Drosophila melanogaster: one gene and its partners. The protein of the gene in region 1 interacts with the protein of each later gene in a pairwise test. Each region holds a gene or a part of one and is shown in the gene's direction. Other genes may lie near its edges. The genes, in order: CG31675, CG10165, CG32987 and CG15012.

Region 1 (4,873 bases):
GTTCGCAACGCCACCGGTTGCATGAAGCAGACCATCGACAGTAAGTAATCTGGTGGGGATCGGCCATAGCCATGATCTCATCGTATCGATTGCCCACGCGAAACCATCCCCATTTAAGCAATTTAGGTTGATAAATTAACTGGGTCTTAGTGCTCACAATGAGAATAATTGAGTTTTCACTCTTACCTGAAAATATGATTGATTCTAAAGCAACGAAATAACAAGAAATATTTGTTCAAAACAAATTAATTAATAGAATATACCTCTGACACTTCTTAATGAAAGAGAATGAGAGAATCTAGGCGTTTAGCATCGAAATATATTTAGAACTGTTCAAGATCAGCGACTTGCTATTGGAATTAAATATATATATGCATATCGTGTGTAGACCATGGAAGGAACCACATATGATGAATGGGGCATACTCATAAATATGAGAAGAAGGTTCAGATAAGGTAGACTGTACTGACTATCTTACATGTATAAAAACAATATCTATTGTATATATGTACTTCCTCATTTATTATACTATAATGATAAAGTGCGTTTGCTCACAGGCAAGTGCGTTAATCTCACAACGGAGATTAGTCGCTGTCCCACAGCAATATGTGCCCTTCATTAAAAATGCATCATGACAATGGACATAAACGCAGCAGTACCTTTTTAAGTGATTTGTTCACAATTTACTTGATTGTCCAGCGATTCCCAAGCATAAATACTCCCTAGGGCTATATGGTATTGAGAATAATTGGACCCCATTCACTTTTGCTACGGAATTATTTATGTTCGGTGACCGCAACATCGCCTCAGTCAATTGTTTGCTAATTACATTAACATTCGACCACGTCTTGCGTTTTATTGAATACATCATCGTCAGTTTTAATTAAACACCAGACAATTGGCATCCCATTCAGCTCAAAAGTTCGTCACATCTATATTAGAACTTTAAATGTGTTCTACCTTTTGTGAGATATACATAGGGAATTAATAATAATTATGGATTTATTTTAATGATTACAATTTGTAATTTTTGGATTTAAATATCATTGTCCGAATGTAAAAACCTGAATAGTCTGACCAAAAAAATATTATTTATTTAAAGGAAACACACTTAAAGTCAGAATATACTTTATAGTTTGAAAAAGCTGCATACAAATAGAATTGAGTATCAGAGAAAGTCTAAAAATGAGAATTTTTGAATATTTCTCTATACATTTATCTCCGAACACATTAGAACACACAGCACGCTTTAATGTCGTAATTTCTGAATCTAATTGCCGAATATATGATTTGAATTTATAATATATCAAAAAGAATAACAACCGACAAAGCATTTCCATTTACACTTAACCAAATAATTTGTACCAACTTCTAAAATGTTTACTTGCAGTTCCCGGTAACCCGCAAATCGTGAGGTCCTGCTACTTTGGCAACATCGCCGACACGAAGGTTGGATGCCAGACCGATCCCAGCCTGACGATCAACAAGTTGCTGAGCTGCGAGGTTTGCACCGAGGACGAGTGCAACGGAACCTCCTCCCTGGCCCCCATCGCCGGAGTCATACTCCTGTTCTTTGGCCTGGCCCGTCTGCTAGCCTGAACGAGGAGCAGTTTGTAGTACCGCTGAGCTATCCCAAACATATCGAACTTGCTGTTGGGAAGCCAGACCCATGGAGCTGCTTTAGTCACCTTTGAATCTCTTGTAATTGTTACACCCTTTTAAACTGTTTTCGCCCACATTAAATGTCGCTTTATTTATGTGAAGATATTTTATGGTTATTCGTAGATTAATTGCTAGCTTTAACTGATAGCCTTCCAGTTGGGCAAGCAGAAAATCCATGCGTGTCTGGCACACTTCAAGAACTGGCCCCATCCAATCTACGTCTCTTCTGCAGGGCTCTCTATATGCTGGGCTGACGATTATACGAACAGACGGAAAAGCGGAAAAGTTCTCTCTGTGATTTTACTCGCTTCGACCATACACTCCCAGTTTTCCTTTTCCATTTCCATTTCCCACAGGGTCGCTATAAGTTCGGCGCGTCAAGTCTCCACCCGCTAAATGTTCATTAAATTTAGACAAATTAAAACGCTGAGCGATGACGCCAGGCGAAATGGCCATAAAATGTTTTCACCACAGAAAAAAGAGAGCGATAAACGGAAAAGAGAAAAACGGCAAGGAGTTGAATTTGGAAAATGCTTTTGGCATTCTTTTAGTTCGATTTCGTGTGCGGACGTCGACTGACAGACGGCTCCAAGAATTTAGCCGGGAAATCGGGGAAAATCAAAAAACAAAACTGAGGGAAAATTGGCAACGCGTGTTTACATTTTTATTTCCTACGTGCTGAGACCCAAATAAATATAAAATAAAAGTCATTTATATAGTTGAAAACACACATTTATTTATATTCAAAATATATACTATATTTGCTTATACAAAACATACAGTTTTGTATGTTCAAACCTCGTGCGGATCGTTTCAATTGCGCCGAGCAGAGCTATAAATAAGCCCGCCACTTGAATTATTTTCCATAAAACCATCAAATACAACAAATTCCAATCACCAGCGAGAAAGGTGGCAAACCGATTTTCCTCCCATCAACAATGCAGCATTATTTACTTTTGTTTGGCGCGCTCATCTCGCTACTGGCCTCAGGTTTGTTTTTGTTCTGTTTGGACTTGTTTCTTTCGAATTTGTACTTTGCTTTGCGAGTTCTGCGTTTGCCGCGACCTGTCGGCTGTCCCCGCCTGATCTCATTTCTGCCATAAATAAGACGCGTCTCTGGTCTTCCCATCCCAATGCCACTAGCTTACGCCATCAAGTGCTATGCCTGCGAATCCGTCTACGAGGCTAGTTGCGGCGACGACTTCGAAGTCGAGAACCATTTTAAATACGACTGCGCCTTCATTGCTCCTCCGCGATTCCTGGAGAACGATCTGCTCAGCGTGAATGCCACGGCCTGTTTGAAACGGGTATTCAAGGGTGAGTTTAAACGAATATGTTTCTCAAAACACGTTCCTACGGATTTGAAGCCTTGCTAGGATAGTAACTTTAATAGTTATGAATCAATAGGTATAGTAAAAAGAAAAGAAAGTTTGAAATATAAGATTAAAAAGTGGATATATCGTAATTCACCAAAAATGTATCTATCCACCAGATATTTTTTTAAAGTAATTGTTCATTAATTACAAATACAGTCCGATTAGCAGCGGACAAAAAAAGTGTGTTCCGAAAGGTAAATGTCTGTATACTCATTAAACATTCGCAATGTTGTCCGTCCGAGATTTGTATTTACTCTTCAGATAATAATTTCTTTAATGATTTGTGACGCAAATCAAAACAAATAAAATTAATTATGTGAAACAGTCATACATACATTCATAGACATACGTGCATATACGGACAGCTGTGACCTTATTTCAGAAGAATCTCGTAGACTTTCCAACAATCTCTTGATATTTTGGACAATACGTACACATTTCGTATAAGCCCATTAAAGACGGACAATAAAAAATGTGTTTATTTACGATAAGTCAGCCCGAAAGTAGACTAACCCAATGTTTTGCCTCTGCAGAAAACGGCGTGCGTAAGATCGTCAGAGGCTGCTACTTCGGCGAGGTAAATGCCACCGATGTGTGGTGCAAAATGGACCCCACCCTGTCGGCGGTGCAGAACTCAAGTTGTCATGTGTGCGACAGCGAGAACTACTGCAACGGATCGGAAAATCATCCAGTGGATAAATGGAAAATCTTCGGCAGTCTGGTCTTGTTTCTCTTGGCAACTCAACTACTCTGAGGCGACAGGAGACGAAGTGGAAATGTGGAAATGTGGAGCGTGAAATGAACATTAAAAGGCACAGTAGCTTAAGTAAACCTAGTTCAATTTAGATGTATTCCCAAGGCCCAGGACTATCAATTAGTAAAGCCCACATTAGTAGAGCACACCATCCACAAAACCGTTTAGCCAAATCTGCCCGGCCCACTGTATTAATGGCTAATCAACGCCGAACATGGCGTATGAGCAACATCAGCACACCGAAATGAGCCGAAAAGCTGGCAAACAAATTTCGAACGATCCAAATACAAACTAATAAAAACTAATTTTACACAGAATGCCAAATTGTTTATTTGTTCAAATGCCACTAATGAACCTTGCCTGAAATAAATGGATTGGCGAGGAAAGGGCAAAGGGAATGGCAGGGCAGGGTAGGGCAAGGCAGAGCACGATGTCAACACGCATTGGCCAGGGAAAAGCCAACGATGGAGAAGTGAAAATGTGAAAAAATCTGTTATGAAAATCAAATTCACATTCTGAATGCGATTGTTCGCACGTTCAGTTCAGTTTCTGTTTAGTTCAGTCGCGTGTGTGCATCGCTTCGAGTCGGTGGTCGGTGGTCGGTGGTCGGTGGTCGTTGGTCGGCGGCTTGTGGCTATATAGCGCATCTATCATGTGATTAAAATCGGTCCGGCAACCGAGAAGACAACATCTGTATTCGCGCACGTATCGGCATCGCCAAGCTATAGCTATAGCCATACTGACTCACCGCGACCGCCGGACGACAGTGGAATCAACTGTTTTCGGGGGCGGTACGATGGCGATGATGGCAGCGCTTGCCTCGCTCTTTCTGCTCGTCACGCTGGCCAGCTCAGGTGAGATTCTCGATTCGCGCCCGCCACTCATCACATTCCTGCCCCGAAATTGTAGTTCATATTTTGAAATATCTCAGAAGCAGAAGACTGTCAACACGATTTATTGCGAATCAGTGAATTTAGGGTTTTACCGACTGTTTTGCGGGAAACTGTTCAGTAAAGAAAAACATATAAACAGCTTTCTTTGTTTATTTCATTGTTTACGTATAGAGTCTAAAAAGTTCAAG
Region 2 (6,077 bases), 1.3 Mb from region 1:
GCACTTGGTGAGGAAAGGACACGCCTTCCAGTAGTGTCGGTCCAACTGAGTAGCGTCACTGCCGGCACACGACCAGTCGCAAAAGGGGCAACGTCTAAAAGAGTATTAATATTATTGCGGATCCTTGAAGAATTCAATTTTACTACACACATTTTGGGTGTGTTGTCTTCAGTGGACTCCGAGTTGGAAGCGGATCCCTTGCGCGAGTTGCTCACGGATAGCATGGAGCGCTTGAGCTGCTCGTTGTACTGCTGCTTTCCATTGCAGCTGGCATATCCATTACTGGAGCTGGCCATTGGGCCTAGGTTATGACCACTGCGGCTATTCATCAGTCGAGAGGCATCTGAGCTGGTGGACGCCTTATCCGCCGGCGGTGTTGCCGCATCGCCCGAGCTGTGACCCCCGCCATACTTGCTAGCCTCCAGCAGCTCCTGCTTGCGGTCCAGATCCAACTTGTCAAATTCGGTGAAGAGTTGGCGGTACAAGAGATTGCGACGCGTGATGTCGTCATCCGGAGGTAACTGCTTGCGCACCAGTCGGGGATTCACCTTGTAGACGAGCAGCAGGATGCGCTCGGCCACCTTTCGCACAGGCTCCGCTGGATGATGGATGCCGGAGCAGCCGCACTCGGACAATGCCCTGCAGGTGAGTCCACTATGCTTGTCCGTGCTAATGCCCTGAGTGTTGACCAGCTGCTCCAGCATCTGCAGCCGACTCATTGCCAGTCGCTGGTGGGTTCCGGATCCAACGCTTCGTGATAGTGCTGGCGCAACCAGGTGCTGCTCCGCCACCTCCGGACAGGCGGCGATGCTTAGGATCGTGTGCTGGGCCAGAGTGTGCAATCGAGCAGATGGATCGCCGGACTTGGCCAGCAATTCGGGCAGCAGGCGGTCCACGCAACGTGCCACCTCGTTGGGGGAAACTCGACCGGGCACATACTCTAGGAACAGCATGCGTACCGTCTCAGTAGCTTGGCTAAACACGGAGTAAACGGCATCTCTTACAGCGCGATGCAGCAGAAGGGCGGCGCTGCGGGCCACTTTGTTGGGACTGGCAGCGTGCTCGTTGCTCGACGCCTCTAACAGGTCGTGCTCCTTTAGGAAGTTACGCAGACGCATCAAGCCATCCTCGCGGTCCTGAAACTGACGCGAATAGAACTGCTCCACCTGGGAATATACATATGTAGGGCACGTATTGAATATGTTATCTATTGGATTTAATGGGGGACTCACCAGCTCATTGCCGAAGACCAGGATGGGAAGCGCTGCCTGGCGACGCTCGCGGTCGTTCAGGCGCGAACGCCCACGGTTCGGATCCGCTTCCAGTAGCGCGTTGCCTTGGCACTCCCTTAAAAATTCATTAGTATTTGAACTGTGAGCGGTTTGTGTTTGTTGTATCGGAATGGCAACGTTTACGGATGCGGTTACAATATACATATAGGAGTAGAAAGGTAAGTACGATTAAAGGTAAATCTAACAACATGTTACTTTCAAATGCGTTCAAATAACGCCTAATTTAAAGTTTTGTGTATAGTTTCGAAATTTCATTATATGAAATTAACTATGAAACCGTTCAAACTATTTTTAATCTTTTATAAAAGTTTCTAAGTTGTTAATAAAAACATAAATACTTTTCTCTAAAAGCAAATTTTAAATACTTTTTAAAATATCTAAAAGCAAAATTTCTGTCAAAAAGCCTAACATTTAAAAGTATCTCAAAAATACCTAATTTCAATATATAAAGAATTTTTGCTTTTGCTTTAAAAAGATAAATCCTTTTCATGTGTTTAGAGCAGATAAAACGGCTTTACTTAAAATTAAGCTAATAGATTCTCTTTCGTTCTTTGAAATTCTGGGCGAGCGTTAAATCTTAAATTAAAAAAAGTAACGGGTGTTGTTTCTAACGGTCGCTAGTGTTGACAAACATTCAAACTAAGAGTACCGGTTATCATGCAACACTGTAATAGACAGCTGTTTCCAGTAAACAAACGAAGTAATTACTATTCCACAATTGTTTACGTATTCACTAGACACCCAGACAACGATTACGACTCTCTACGCCCGCTACTCACTGTCGCAGCGTGGGAATGGCCCGCTCCTCGTAGTCTTCGTAGGAGTTTCGTGGAACGCTCTTGTTGCGCCTGCGCAGCGATCCCTGTCGGCTGGACATTGGTGAGCTGTGCCTTGAAGGCAGACGTGGCGACTGCGGCAGCTCGTCGTGGGACTTGCGCCAGCCCCCCAGCGTGGGAGTGGGCGTGGCCTGCAAAGAGGTGGGCGCAGGAGCGGGTGCTGGAGCAGGTGCCGGAGCTGTCAACGTATTGTCGTTACCAGGCTGGGAGCCATCGGTCGAGGATTTGTCCTCTAAGCTGAGACTCGTCATGCTCTTGGGACTGAAGGTGGCTTCCGCAAGTGCCTGTGCCACATCCTGCAGGCTAGGAGCCGATGGCAGACTGGGCTTCCCACCCGCATAGATCTCGCAGCTTTGGTCATTGGAGCTTAAGGTCACACCCTGCGGTTCCAGAAGCTGATGCACCTGCAATTGTCGAAGTACTGCCGCCCGGTACATCTCGATCTGCTCCTTGCGTAGCCTGGCCGTGGTAAAGTCCTCCTGCTGAACAGCCTGCCTCTTGGCCAGAGCATAGCGCCCCAAACGTTCTCCGGCAGTCCTTAAAGCTGTCATGCATAGCTTCAGTTTGCGGGCGTACTCGAATCTTTCTGAGTTAACGGCCAAAATCTTTCGCTGTTCCAACTCTCGGATGGTCTGCACTATTGACTCCTCCACATACATGGAGAAAAGCAGGTCATCACAGACGGAGGCCAGGGCCAGTTCTCCGGTGGCCGTGTCCAACGGTGGGGCCTCGTTGGCCAAGTGCTCCTCTCCGTTGCCATTATTTGGCCCCACTTCCAGATCCTCGCCCAGGACATTTACCGCTAGTAGGGAAATCTGGCCTGTGTCATTGTAGTCGTTTCCTTGGACGCCAATCAGACGCAGCTTAAGATGTGTGCCCCTACGTGGACACACGGTTACGCTCTGCAGCTCCCGAGACTTGTAGTTCGTGTTGGCATTATCCGCCAGGGCAACAAAACCCAAAAAGTCAAAGTACTGCGAGGATGGAGTGCTGGGCAGGGATTTGGGCGAGTAGTGCAGCCAGAGTTCTACTTTCTCAGCTAAACGAAAAAACAACACATTATAGGGAATACTCAAGCTGTTTGTTTATATGTTCATCTTTGATCATACTAAAGATCAGGCATTGATTATTTCTAGGTACTTATTAGGCTTGTAGCCAATTCCAATTAACTTAGCACATTAACTTACGTATAAGATACTGGTGTGCCAGGAGCTGGATGCGATAGATCTTGGCCGGCTGCTGGAATCGGAGGATGATGTCATGTGAGGTGAGGCTGCCGTTCGGAGCACTTCGCCATCCGTGAACTGTGGGGCCGTGATTGTTTAACTCGCTAGCCGGAAAGTTAACATCCTCGTCTGAAAGGCAAGCGAAACGATCCAATCATCATTACTTTCATGACGTTATAACCTATGTATAGGTGGCGCAGGCCATTATGACTCTCTTAATAAGTCTCTTTTTCGCACACTCAGCTAAATAGTTGCACATGATAACGATATCGGACTATGTTTCGTTCTCTTTCGGTTGCTAAGCTAACAGCAGCGGTCAAAACGAAAGCTAGCATTCAAGCGTGCCCAAAATAATAAGCCTTAAAATCTATTAAATATTCAGAAACAGGTTATCAGTTATATATGCGATGAAACGTATAAAATGGAAAGCATAAACAAAAACATTTGAGTTACTTTAAGAATTCTCAACTATCACTATTTATTCGAACGCAGCTGTACGAGTACAAACGAATCTAACTTGTTGTTCTCTATCCTCAGGTTCCACGCTCTTCTCTTCTATATTTAAGCGATGTCGATGTTAACATGCTAGTTTAGTCGTCGCTCAGCCGTTCGTGTTTTGTTACTGAATCAGATAGTATTATTGAATCTTTTGAAATGGCGGAGGGTTACACGAAAGCCACTGCCTGGCTGCAAATCCACAGCCTGCTGAATAGCATCAACCACATTCTGATCTTTCTGGTGGCCGTCTTCTTTTTCATACTGGCGCGCAGTCTGGAGTTCAAGGATACCGCCATGCATATGTTTATGACCGGGACTGGAGTGAGTACACGGCGATAAGCACTTGGCCACAAAATCAATAGTGTTAGATCGACCTGGATAACACGGACATGCAACGTCACTTGTTATCTTATCGAACTGGAGCTGAATTAAAAGGCTTTTCTTGCTCTCGACAGTTCCACGTCCTTATCGCCCAGGCCATGATGTCGCATTCGAAAGTGAACCCGCTCACCCGTTGGCTGTCGCACCGAAACAAGTCGCGCTTCCACGCCATCCTGCAGATTGTGGGTGGCTCCATGGTGCTGTTGGGCTCCCTGGGTAAATTTTCCAGCAAGGAGGTGCACTTTAACACCTGGCACGGCCGAGTGGGTGAGTAAATAATTAGGTTAATTCAGGAAAACCGATTAAAGCTGACATTTTGCAGGGGGAGCTGCTTCCTTTTTCTGCGCGGCCAGCATTGTAGGCGGTTTTGTCAACTATTTCCAGCCCAAGTTCGCCCTGAAAGTAATGCCTCCATCAGAGCTTCGCTTCCGCCATAATCTATTTGGATTGGTCACCTTTAGTCTGGGAATGGGCGCCATTTACCTGGGCTACTATTCGAAATTCTTTACCAAGTATGTGGATACTGACTTTATTCCCGGCATGATGCTGATTACCGGCATTGTTTATGGACTCACCATTATCGCGCCGGTGTCATCGCTTCTAACTAAACTTAAGTATCGGTCCAAAAAGAAGGCGGAGCAGGCCCAGTAGGTGATACTGGGGAGGATGAGGCTGAGGCCATCGAGGCTAACCAAAATTTGTCAGGTCCTAGCATGAAAATAAAGAGCTTGGCGTTTGGCCAAATTTAAATCTCTGGCCGCAACTCAAATTGCACATGCAGACACAAAAAGAGTCGACAACCCGGCAGTCTGACAATATTATAATGAAATATTACAGTCATCGTGGTTGCAGTGGTTTTAGGACGTGGTAAATTGGCCGAGACTTTGGAAAATTGATTTAGCATCCTGGCCATATTTAAATCGGACTATTGCCAGCTGATTAGCTGCAATTAAAAAGGCAGCGCCAGTCTATTTTAAATTCCAACGTCCTGGCGCACTAGGCGTATGCGTGATTTATCGATTTCTCAAGTGCAGCGAATTTTAAAGGAAGAAAGGGAGGTGGAAGACGTTTAGCTCTCAGCCAAATCCTGTCGCAACTAAAAATGCAATTAAGAACATAAAAAACACACAAAATAAAGCAAACAAATAAGAAAACTATAAATAATAAAAATCTTTCTGCAGCTTTCAGTTCATAATATATCCGAAGTTTTGTTTACCTGAGGCGAACACCACGTTAAAAGGTATTTTCTTAGCCATGTTGACGTCGCGCCGTCAAAAGCGCACTACTTTGCCACTTTTATTCGCTAATCCGCACATAAAGTGAGCACTTATTCTTAAAGCGGCCGTTCGCGAACTGTGTGACCGCACAATTTTTTATGATTTTTACCCTTGTGCTCTGGAAAGTATACTATAAAACTTTATTCGGCTGGGCGAATATACCAAAAACATACATCATCTACATAGAATGTTATTTGTTCAGCTTTATATTAAAGTCAATATTTTGTCAAATTAGATATTTTAATATCATTTATTTAACACATTTAAATTTACATTTGGAATTCGATACGTTTTAGCCACTATCTAACTATCTAGCCACTATCGACTTCGCTATCGATTCGAGCCAGCTGTTTTGTATTATTGAATTGACCAACACTCTTGTAGTTTTAATTGAAATTATTTACACGGTTCTTGAGAACAATTACAATGCCAACAAATGGCCATAAATACAGCATTTTGATGCCCACTTACAATGAAAAGGATAATTTGCCCATTATAATATGGCTAATTGTGAAATACATGAAGGCGAGGTGAGTAGCGGCTGCTCTAAGGTGCAAATTCAGGTAT
Region 3 (4,115 bases), about 12 Mb from region 1:
GGCCCTTTCATCGTTGTCAGCGTTGTGTGGGTGGAAAATATAAGCCGAAAATGTTATACCATGGTACATTGACCTGCCCTGAAGGGGCCATTGTAGAATAGTAAATAGTCCATATATATGTATGTGGCCCAAGGCCGAAATCTGCAAGAGAAAGATCAATAAACAAGTCGTATGAGTTATTTTAAATTAGTTGCTCTTTTTAGCTTTAAAAATGTTTTATAAATTTGCAGAGAAAATAGAATCTAATCCTAATACTGACATCCGCTACTTGATTTTCAATTTCCGAAAGGTATTCACTTTTTACCAACTCAATAATCCAATCATGAGGAGCAGGCGAGCTAACGACTTGATTGGCAACTCAAGGGTTATACTCCTTCGACTGCAAGCGTATCTATTGCATTGAGCTGCAGCTGCCAGATAACTGACATTCTCCCCGATCGCCTGCTGCCTTGGCATTTGCATGTCTTTAGCGGGGATCAAGGATAAGCGTAGCCAGCTGATTGAGATTGAGTCATAGCCGGAACAATGCCGTCCAACCGTCAACCATCAAGCATCAACCGTCTGTGAAAGTGATTGTGATCGAGGCCGCAGATGCGGCAGTAAACACATCTCGGGATCGCCTTTCTACTCCAGTGTATCCTTGTATCCTTTGCTTTGCGTGTCACTCAAGCGATCAGCAAAACAACAACAAACAATGCAGGCAGGGGAAAGGAGTAAGCATCCTTTGTGGCTGTTTTGTTAGCTTTGATCGGAGCTACTTAGCATTTTCCTTGCAGGCTTTGTAGTCCCCTTGGAATTCCGCATGCCTCGCTGAGTTTTCCGCCCTGATCGAACGGAATAATACTGCTTAGATTTATAAAATGTTAAATATTTATGCATGCCATCGCATTCGGTAAGTCACCGTAATTATCTCTTCCGCGAATCTTAATCTTAGGATAATTGTTATATATATACGGTGTATATAAATATTTCCAGTTCTTAAATCAGATTTACAGGCTATGTATTATTTTGGCTATTAGTAATTTTTAGTAGTATTAGTATTGTTTATGTTTTTAGGGATGTCTTCGTACCCAATCAGGGTGTGCCATAAATATTTTGTCAAAATTTTAAGTGGTTGCCCTCTAAGTGCTCCCAATGTTAGGAGGCAGTTTAAGAAATGACTGGGTCATCTATCCACCAGCCCTCCAGCTTCTCAACTTTCCTTTGCCACAGCAGCAAGAGCAGGCTCCTGGAACTTTGGTTCGATACGAGCATCCTTCGATACACCAGCTTCGCTTAGCACCCCGTAGATTAAGGGCACGACGTTCGGTTGTGGAAGGCGAAGGCTCCAGAGGACTGGACAACGGAAATGGCGACTCGTCGAAAATAATATTTGTGCGGCGCTGCTACATGATGGCTGGATTGTTTTCGACTACAACTGCGATCCTTGCCATAATCCTGTCCAAGGTAATTCCTCCGGAGGCAGATCTTATAATGGCAGGATTCATAAGTGCAATGGTGTCCCTAATGTTTCTCTTTGTCTTCTGTATTTTGACCAAGTTGCGGAGTTTTTATTGGTATAGTTTCATCATGGCCGGGTTGTTTGTAAGTCTGGCAGGTTTGGGCGTTATTCTGCTTCTCCTGGAGCGGAACCTTTCCCGCGTGTGCATTGCCCTTCTGGTGGCCTCCGCCATGACTGTGATATGCTATTTCGCTGGCGCATGGATACCCAAGATCATCCTCCCCGGAGAGAGGACCATGTTCCTCCTGCTCGTCATTTTCGTGATGTCCTCAATCTTTGTGATGACCATGTATATCTTCACAGACAATTGGATCTACCAGTTGGTGTACTTCACGTTATTGGCCACTTTGCTAATACCCGCATCCGTTTACCATGCTCAGGTGGTTCATTCCAGGCGATTCCAGCTGCCCGATTACGAATTCGTTATTTGCGCCGTCAACATCTATCTGCACTTTCTGTTGTTCTTTGCGGCCTTTTACTTTGTCATCTGGGCTCCCAAATGGTGAGAGTTATAGGAGTTAATTTAACGTGTCCGTGTAAAATAAAAAGAAGGCTTTAATGAGAAAAGATACCAATTTGTAAATAAAAGATATAGAAGGTGAGCAGCTTTGCCAGGAGGTAAGTGTCAGGGTGCAGGCCAGACCTAGTCTTAACACTCGGTCCATAAGGATTTTTAACGGGATGGACAACATTTACCACCAGGACAACATCCGGCCGACGATCGAGCAGCTGGACCCAATGACCCAGTTCATCCGCAGCATCTATAACATTGGCCTGATCCTTATCGGAATTACGGTGGGCGCATGGATTCTGCTCATGCTGACCCATATTCACCTGCAGAGGTACCTTCCGTTTCCCTGCTACGTCCTGGCTCTAATAATTTTTCTGGTGATGATATGCATGCATTGTATCCCGAGAATATCCTACTACTCTCCCTGTAAGTGGTTCATGACAGGTCTGGTGGTTGTGTGTACCACCTTGTTTGGCTGCCATTTCATCCACGACTTGAGCCCGCTCATTATCAGTTTCGTGATGATCGGCGTGGCCCTGATCATTATGTTACTCAACTTCTCTGGGGCCATGTGCCCGCAGGAGTTCCTGCCCGGCGGTGTTTGCTCCACGCTGCTGATGATGGCACTGCTGTTGGTCTTGACCATTGTGGGAATCGTCCAGCTCTGCACCGGGAGTGTTGAGCTGCTCGACACCTTCGTCAGCATTCTGTTCCTGATGCTGATCATAGCGATCCCCATTCAGGCGCAGTTCAACCATGGCCGTCTGAACGTCGTGGAAGTGGTTCCCGAAGAGCACCTCATGGTCTGCACCCTGACTTTATACTTGCATTCAATGATGTTCTTCTTCTGCGTGTGCTACTTCATCCTGGTCGACGAGAGAAAGGAGGCCATCAGACAAACATCTGAAGCTCCGAAAATTTCACTCGAAAATGATTTTGATTGAGAGAAATAGCTGTCACTGTGTGATCGAAACTGATTAGCGATCTGGCAAGTTACTATGGTGTTCCAGACCAAAGGATACTGTCATCCAGTCTAATTACTTAGTGCGGTGTAGCCTAGGCGGTACAGAAAATATAAATATATTCTCATTGCAAGGCAATTAGAATAAAGCCAGAGTATTATGAAAAGTCCTAGTCTCAATATAAGAGAAAATGAATCACTTACTTTGCTTTTTTCTTCAAAATTACATTATATTGACCTAAAATAATTGATTAACACATGAATAATCGCAATCGGGGTTGGGGTCGTTATGGCCTTAGAACCGGAAGACCTGGTGGCGAGCCAGTTCCTGCGGAGGGACCGGAGGTCTTAGTCATCAACGAGCGGGAGTTGCGGGCCTTCATCTTCCGGGTGTACCTATCCTCCGTAGTGCTGTGCCTGCTGTCTTCCATTTCGTGGATCATACTGTCGGCACTCGCTGTGAGGGTCTACAAGGCAATTCCAGTGCCGCCGTTCGTTTGGCTGATATTAGCTTTCATCATTCTCTCAGTGCTCGGCTGCATCGCACAGACTCCAGCATTGACCTTGTTATGCTGGGGATTGGTGCTGGGATCCTTGTTCTTTCTCACCCTGTTCGGAGCGTATTATATGCATCTAGTGCGCGTCTGGGTCCTTTTGATTGCCATTTTGGTTGCCGGATCCCTGCTGGCCCTGCTGCATTTGTATGGGGCCAAAAGTCCGGAGGTTCTGCTACCCAACATTATCTGTACTTGCTGCATTTTTCTGCTGCTCACCGTCACCATGATCGTCCTGCTAATACTCTTCCTGATCATCAATGATATGCGGTATCTCCTGGCACTTGCCATAGTGTTCGTCATCCTGATCGCATTCATGGCTCCATTTCAGGCTCGTTTCATTTGTGGAAGGCTGCAGCAGGTGCCTTATGGGGAGACTGCGGATTGCGCCAATGGCATTTACCTACACTTTATTTTTCTACTCTCCTGCATGCTCGTTTTTGCCCTGTACTATAAGCTAGTTAATAGTTGAATAAAAAATATGTTGAGGCTGATGTGCAAATAGCCTAGAAATGTATTTGCGACTATGTTGGATAAAAACTGAATGGTTTTAAGTGCATGTTGTTGGCTTAAATTAAACCATCGAAA
Region 4 (4,130 bases), on another chromosome or scaffold:
GCACCCCCCATCCCATAACTATTTATTCTTTGGTTATTTATTGAGATCCCACAATCCGCCACTTTCAAATGGTTTCCTACTTTACCACTACGCTCTATCCTTCATATGTTTCCCTAGTTTTAGGCAAAGCGAAATTGAATTGTCAGACTTGTTAAGTTTCAGTTATACCTACGCGGGATTTGAGGCCATCTGAACGAACAGATTAGCCTCGAATGTTACAATATGCAAGTTAATAATATCGAGAAAATAAACACAAACGAAGTAATGAAGCGGCAAACATGGAAAGGCAGAAAATCGTTTACAATAAGTTAATATAGCAAATGTATATATTAAATTATTTATTTATTACTTTATTTGATAGCTGCGAAATAATAAAAAGTTTACTTTTATTAAGCGACAAGTGTTTTAATGCGTTCTAATAGTACCTCTGATTATCGGAGCTTGGGAACGACTGATAAGGAAACGCAAACAAAGCTAATGCAAACTTTATCAGTGTGATGAAATGTTTGTGTGGGGGGCTTTGATAACAGCCCTTGTGTTGGCCGTGACTGGAAGTTTTGGTATAAACAAAACAAGTTTGGCAAAACGAATGAATAGAATAAAGAATAATATGGTTCGCATTGTCATACAAGCGAGGCAAATAGGAATATAAAATACGATCATCTTGAATTTGCTAACTAATGATCATAAACCTGTGTTCAAAAGTATACTACACACTTTTATTAGAACTATGATGCCGAGGAAAATCTTTGCGTGTGCCTGTTTATTTGCCGAGCACAACTTCGAGATCATGAATACACGCAGAAAAACACTTTTTAGCTGAGATATTTAAAAAACAAGAATGACCGATTTAAAATCGGCTAGTTTTGCCAATAGAATTAAAAAGGCAAATGAATTATTGGTTAAAAATGATATCTACGCTGGATGCTTTCCTCCACAGTTTCAATAAAACCAAGAGAAGTACGAAAATACATGTAAATTTATTGCAACACACTTATTTACATATTGATCTAATCCCTTTGAGCTTAAACACTTTAAAAACAACAGCGGACGCTAATCCGCAACTGGAATCGGATTAATGCGCGCATCCATTATAGCCGCCTGAGGTTTGTGTCCCTGGGACAATACATACGATTTCGTTCAAAAATATTGACTACATCTAGGTTGAACTAAAGCGAATTAGCACTCAAATTTGTAACAATTGATAACAGTGGTGGTGTCTATCTACGCGGCACGTGCGTCATTGATGGTGGAGGGCACATGTACCTCCAGGCCCTCCATATCCTTGGACAGGGTGATCTGGCAGCCCAGCCGCGAGGTGTCCGTCAGTTCGTACGCCAAATCCAGCATGTCCAGCTCCTCATCACCGGGTTTGTCGGGCAGTTTCTCGAAATCGCTGGTCTTGAAGATCAGGTGGCAGGTGGAGCAGGTCAGCGTGCCCTCACAGGCCCCGAAACCATCCAGATCCACATTGTTGTTGACCACCACGTCCAGCAGGGAGTCACCCACTTTTCCGGACGTCTTAATCTTGTCCCCATTGGCACGCACGAAGGTTATGTTAACACTGCAATAGCGAGATTGGTCAATGTTTACGCTGCTCTGGCGGTGTGGAGCTACCATTGTAGTGCTCGTGGGGTGGAGAAGATACTCACACATCTTTCGTTTTCAGGGCCAATCCCGTCGAGAAAGTACGCGTTGCGATCGGCGATCGCAAATTGAGGCTGCGTAGCGCCAATCTGGAGGCAGCTCTGCATGAGTTTATGACTAGCATTCTGGTTAGGATTCCTTTGCAATCTCTTACTATAACTGACAACACGCACCCACTCGTGTCGCTGCGATCGGTTGTTAAATAATAAGGAAATCAATTAAATTTTGTTAAACGTGAAGTTGTGTGTGACCGTATTGGACTTTCTGAAAAAGACGTCGTGCCTTTAACGTACTAAAAAACAACAACAAACTGCATAAGCAGTAATTTTAAAGTTAAACATTTAAATGTTTGCACAAATTATTGCACAAAATATTTAATTAACAGCAACTTTCTTTTTATAACGGAGTTAATTTGTGTTACACAAAAAGTATATGTTACTGCTGCAGTTCAGGTGTGAACACACTAAATACTGAAACAGGGTTGCTACAGCGAGTGAAGAAACCCTGTATTCACCTGCAGACAGACAACCCTGTGCGTCAAAACAAGAAGATTTAAGAGTGGAATAAATTTAATTACGTTTTAAAACCTAAACAATGGGCGTGTTGGACAATATTGCGTTGCATTTCACGGGGGATGCGTCCAGGAACAGGAACACCTCCATAATAGCCGGACTTCTGGTAGGCTAACACCCGCAAACAAAGAGCCGCCCGCCTGACAGTGCAACTTTTTCTCCTTAGTTTTTCGCAGGATGGTGGGTTCTAATCGATGCCATGTCCATCGACGGCAAGCACCAGATTACCACAGGACACGTCTTCATCGGCATCTTCGGGACCATCAGCTTCTGCATGGTGAACGCAGTGAAGGGAGAACATGTAACACACACTTATCATTGGGCTTAACAAGTGACTCACTTCTTTTGTTTGTGCGCAGATTTCTGATGAGAACTCATCGGAGTCCGGCGCCAGGATAGCGAAGATCTGGCTGCTTGTGGGCTTCCTAATGGGTTTTGCCTCCATCATTGCCGCCATCTGGGTGATGATCGACGACTTCATCAACAATGGTGAGAAATAAACAGATATTTAAGGATTCCTTAGCTGAATTGCACCCACTTATCGTTTTTCAGAAAAGAAGGATGGCTGGTTTGGCGTGGCTCTGCTGATGCAAAACGTCTTCATCCTGTTCGCCAGTTTGGTCTACAAGTTTGGACGCAACGAGGAAGAGTGGAATGAGTAAAGCTTCCATTCAAATTATTGCACAAGGGAACGCAGCTTTTAGTATCTAGACTCATTACGTACATAATCAGGAGTCCAAGGAGTTTATGCTTGAGGCCGAGGACACCATCACTCGCAAATCCTCACCCCACACATTGAAGCGTAAAATGTCCAACTCTGCTACTGTTCATATTCGAAAAAATCGTCGAGTCTGTACGGATTTCCCTCACTATTTCCGACATTCTGCCGCTTTGAATCGGAAAAGGGCGCAGAGCAGGGCCAATAATCTCATTTATATTTAACAAAATAAACGACAAGTCACTTGCGTAAGGCCACCTTTGAGCTGTACTTTATTTTCAGGCAGAGAGCGTTGTGAGAAGCAACAGGACGATCAACCCAAGCCGCCCGCTGCCCCGACTACATCTACAAGGATAGCGACCGTTAAGAGAAATGGTTTAATAGCTGGTCAAACTTGTGCATCGTACGCGTCAATGGGACACTCGTGCTCGTTTTGCAGGCACCACTGCGGCTGCATGGCCTCTGCGCCCAGACCATTGTCCACCAGTCGCTGGCGGTGGAGCAGCAGACGTGACTCCGCCTGGCGCCAACCTTCGGCAGGATTTGACCAAAGTCGTTCGGCCAGGGCACTGGCCCTGGGCCAGAAGCGGTTGTCCAGTGTGTGCTCGTCGATCTGCTCTGACCAAATGGCTCCCTCCGCGCCCAATACATGATGCTCGTAGTCGCCGGCAATGGATTTCAAACTATTGTCGTACACCTTCTGCCAGCCAATGTAGGGGGAGCACCAGTTGTTTCCATCGGTCACCCAGCCAGCTCCGCCGCAATCCAAGTACAGGGCATCGTAGTTGGACACAATGATCTTGTAGCCCCGCTCCAGAATCTTCTTTACCTTCGGATCTACACCAGTGGTCCAGATCTGAATGATGTAACGCTCTGGGTTCAGATACTCGTCAATGAAGGGCTCCTCAGTGAGTCCACTAGTCCACAGAATGATGGGCGTGTGCGTACCATTGGCCACCTTGTCCACGCGACCAAGAGCCTCCGTCTGGAAGTGTCCCCACAAGCGCATAAAGTCGGCGGTCTCCAGGCCCCAACCCTGTTTCTTCATCCACTGCTGGATGGGCTGGCTGCTGTTCCAGCAGCTGGTTGACACTTCATCGCCGCCCATGTGGAAGATATCCGGGTTGAACTGATCGAACATGGTGCCGTAAATGTCCTCCAGCACATCGTACATTTCGTTCACAGTGGGATCG

What was found.
Region 2: the proteins of CG31675 (region 1) and CG10165 interact in a two-hybrid assay, tested with the Drosophila melanogaster proteins (one large-scale study listed by BioGRID).
Region 3: the proteins of CG31675 (region 1) and CG32987 interact in a two-hybrid assay, tested with the Drosophila melanogaster proteins (one large-scale study listed by BioGRID).
Region 4: the proteins of CG31675 (region 1) and CG15012 interact in a two-hybrid assay, tested with the Drosophila melanogaster proteins (one large-scale study listed by BioGRID).

What each region holds. Positions count from the first base shown.
Region 1 is NT_033779.5:20,865,546-20,870,418, forward strand, and holds CG31675 (uncharacterized protein), read left to right. Parts: upstream 1-2,209; 5' UTR 2,210-2,600; coding exon 2,601-2,652; intron 2,653-2,805; coding exon 2,806-2,979; intron 2,980-3,571; coding exon 3,572-3,792; 3' UTR 3,793-4,105; downstream 4,106-4,873. Other genes in the region: CG9338 (uncharacterized protein), read left to right, coding at 1-40, 1,391-1,599; CG14401 (uncharacterized protein), read left to right, coding at 4,589-4,802.
Region 2 is NT_033779.5:19,526,184-19,532,260, reverse strand, and holds CG10165 (uncharacterized protein), read left to right. Parts: upstream 1-1,955; 5' UTR 1,956-1,992; exon of another isoform or gene 1,993-2,071; coding exon of another isoform or gene 2,072-3,167; intron 3,168-3,264; exon of another isoform or gene 3,265-3,315; coding exon of another isoform or gene 3,316-3,483; exon of another isoform or gene 3,484-3,490; intron 3,491-3,891; 5' UTR 3,892-4,008; coding exon 4,009-4,173; intron 4,174-4,307; coding exon 4,308-4,500; intron 4,501-4,555; coding exon 4,556-4,884; 3' UTR 4,885-5,351; downstream 5,352-6,077. Other genes in the region: CG10137 (uncharacterized protein), read right to left, coding at 1-94, 151-1,166, 1,233-1,347, 2,072-3,167, 3,316-3,483, 5,450-5,489; Dpm1 (Dolichyl-phosphate mannosyltransferase subunit 1), read left to right, coding at 5,937-6,040.
Region 3 is NT_033779.5:8,861,673-8,865,787, forward strand, and holds CG32987 (uncharacterized protein), read left to right. Parts: upstream 1-2,138; 5' UTR 2,139-2,182; coding exon 2,183-2,956; 3' UTR 2,957-3,175; downstream 3,176-4,115. Other genes in the region: CG32986 (uncharacterized protein), read left to right, coding at 1,135-2,007; CG32988 (uncharacterized protein), read left to right, coding at 3,232-3,999.
Region 4 is NT_037436.4:4,290,265-4,294,394, reverse strand, and holds CG15012 (uncharacterized protein), read left to right. Parts: upstream 1-2,148; 5' UTR 2,149-2,241; coding exon 2,242-2,325; intron 2,326-2,385; coding exon 2,386-2,520; intron 2,521-2,578; coding exon 2,579-2,708; intron 2,709-2,771; coding exon 2,772-2,881; 3' UTR 2,882-3,187; downstream 3,188-4,130. Other genes in the region: Fdx2 (ferredoxin 2), read right to left, coding at 1,225-1,564, 1,653-1,771; Hexo1 (hexosaminidase 1), read right to left, coding at 3,216-3,282, 3,345-4,130.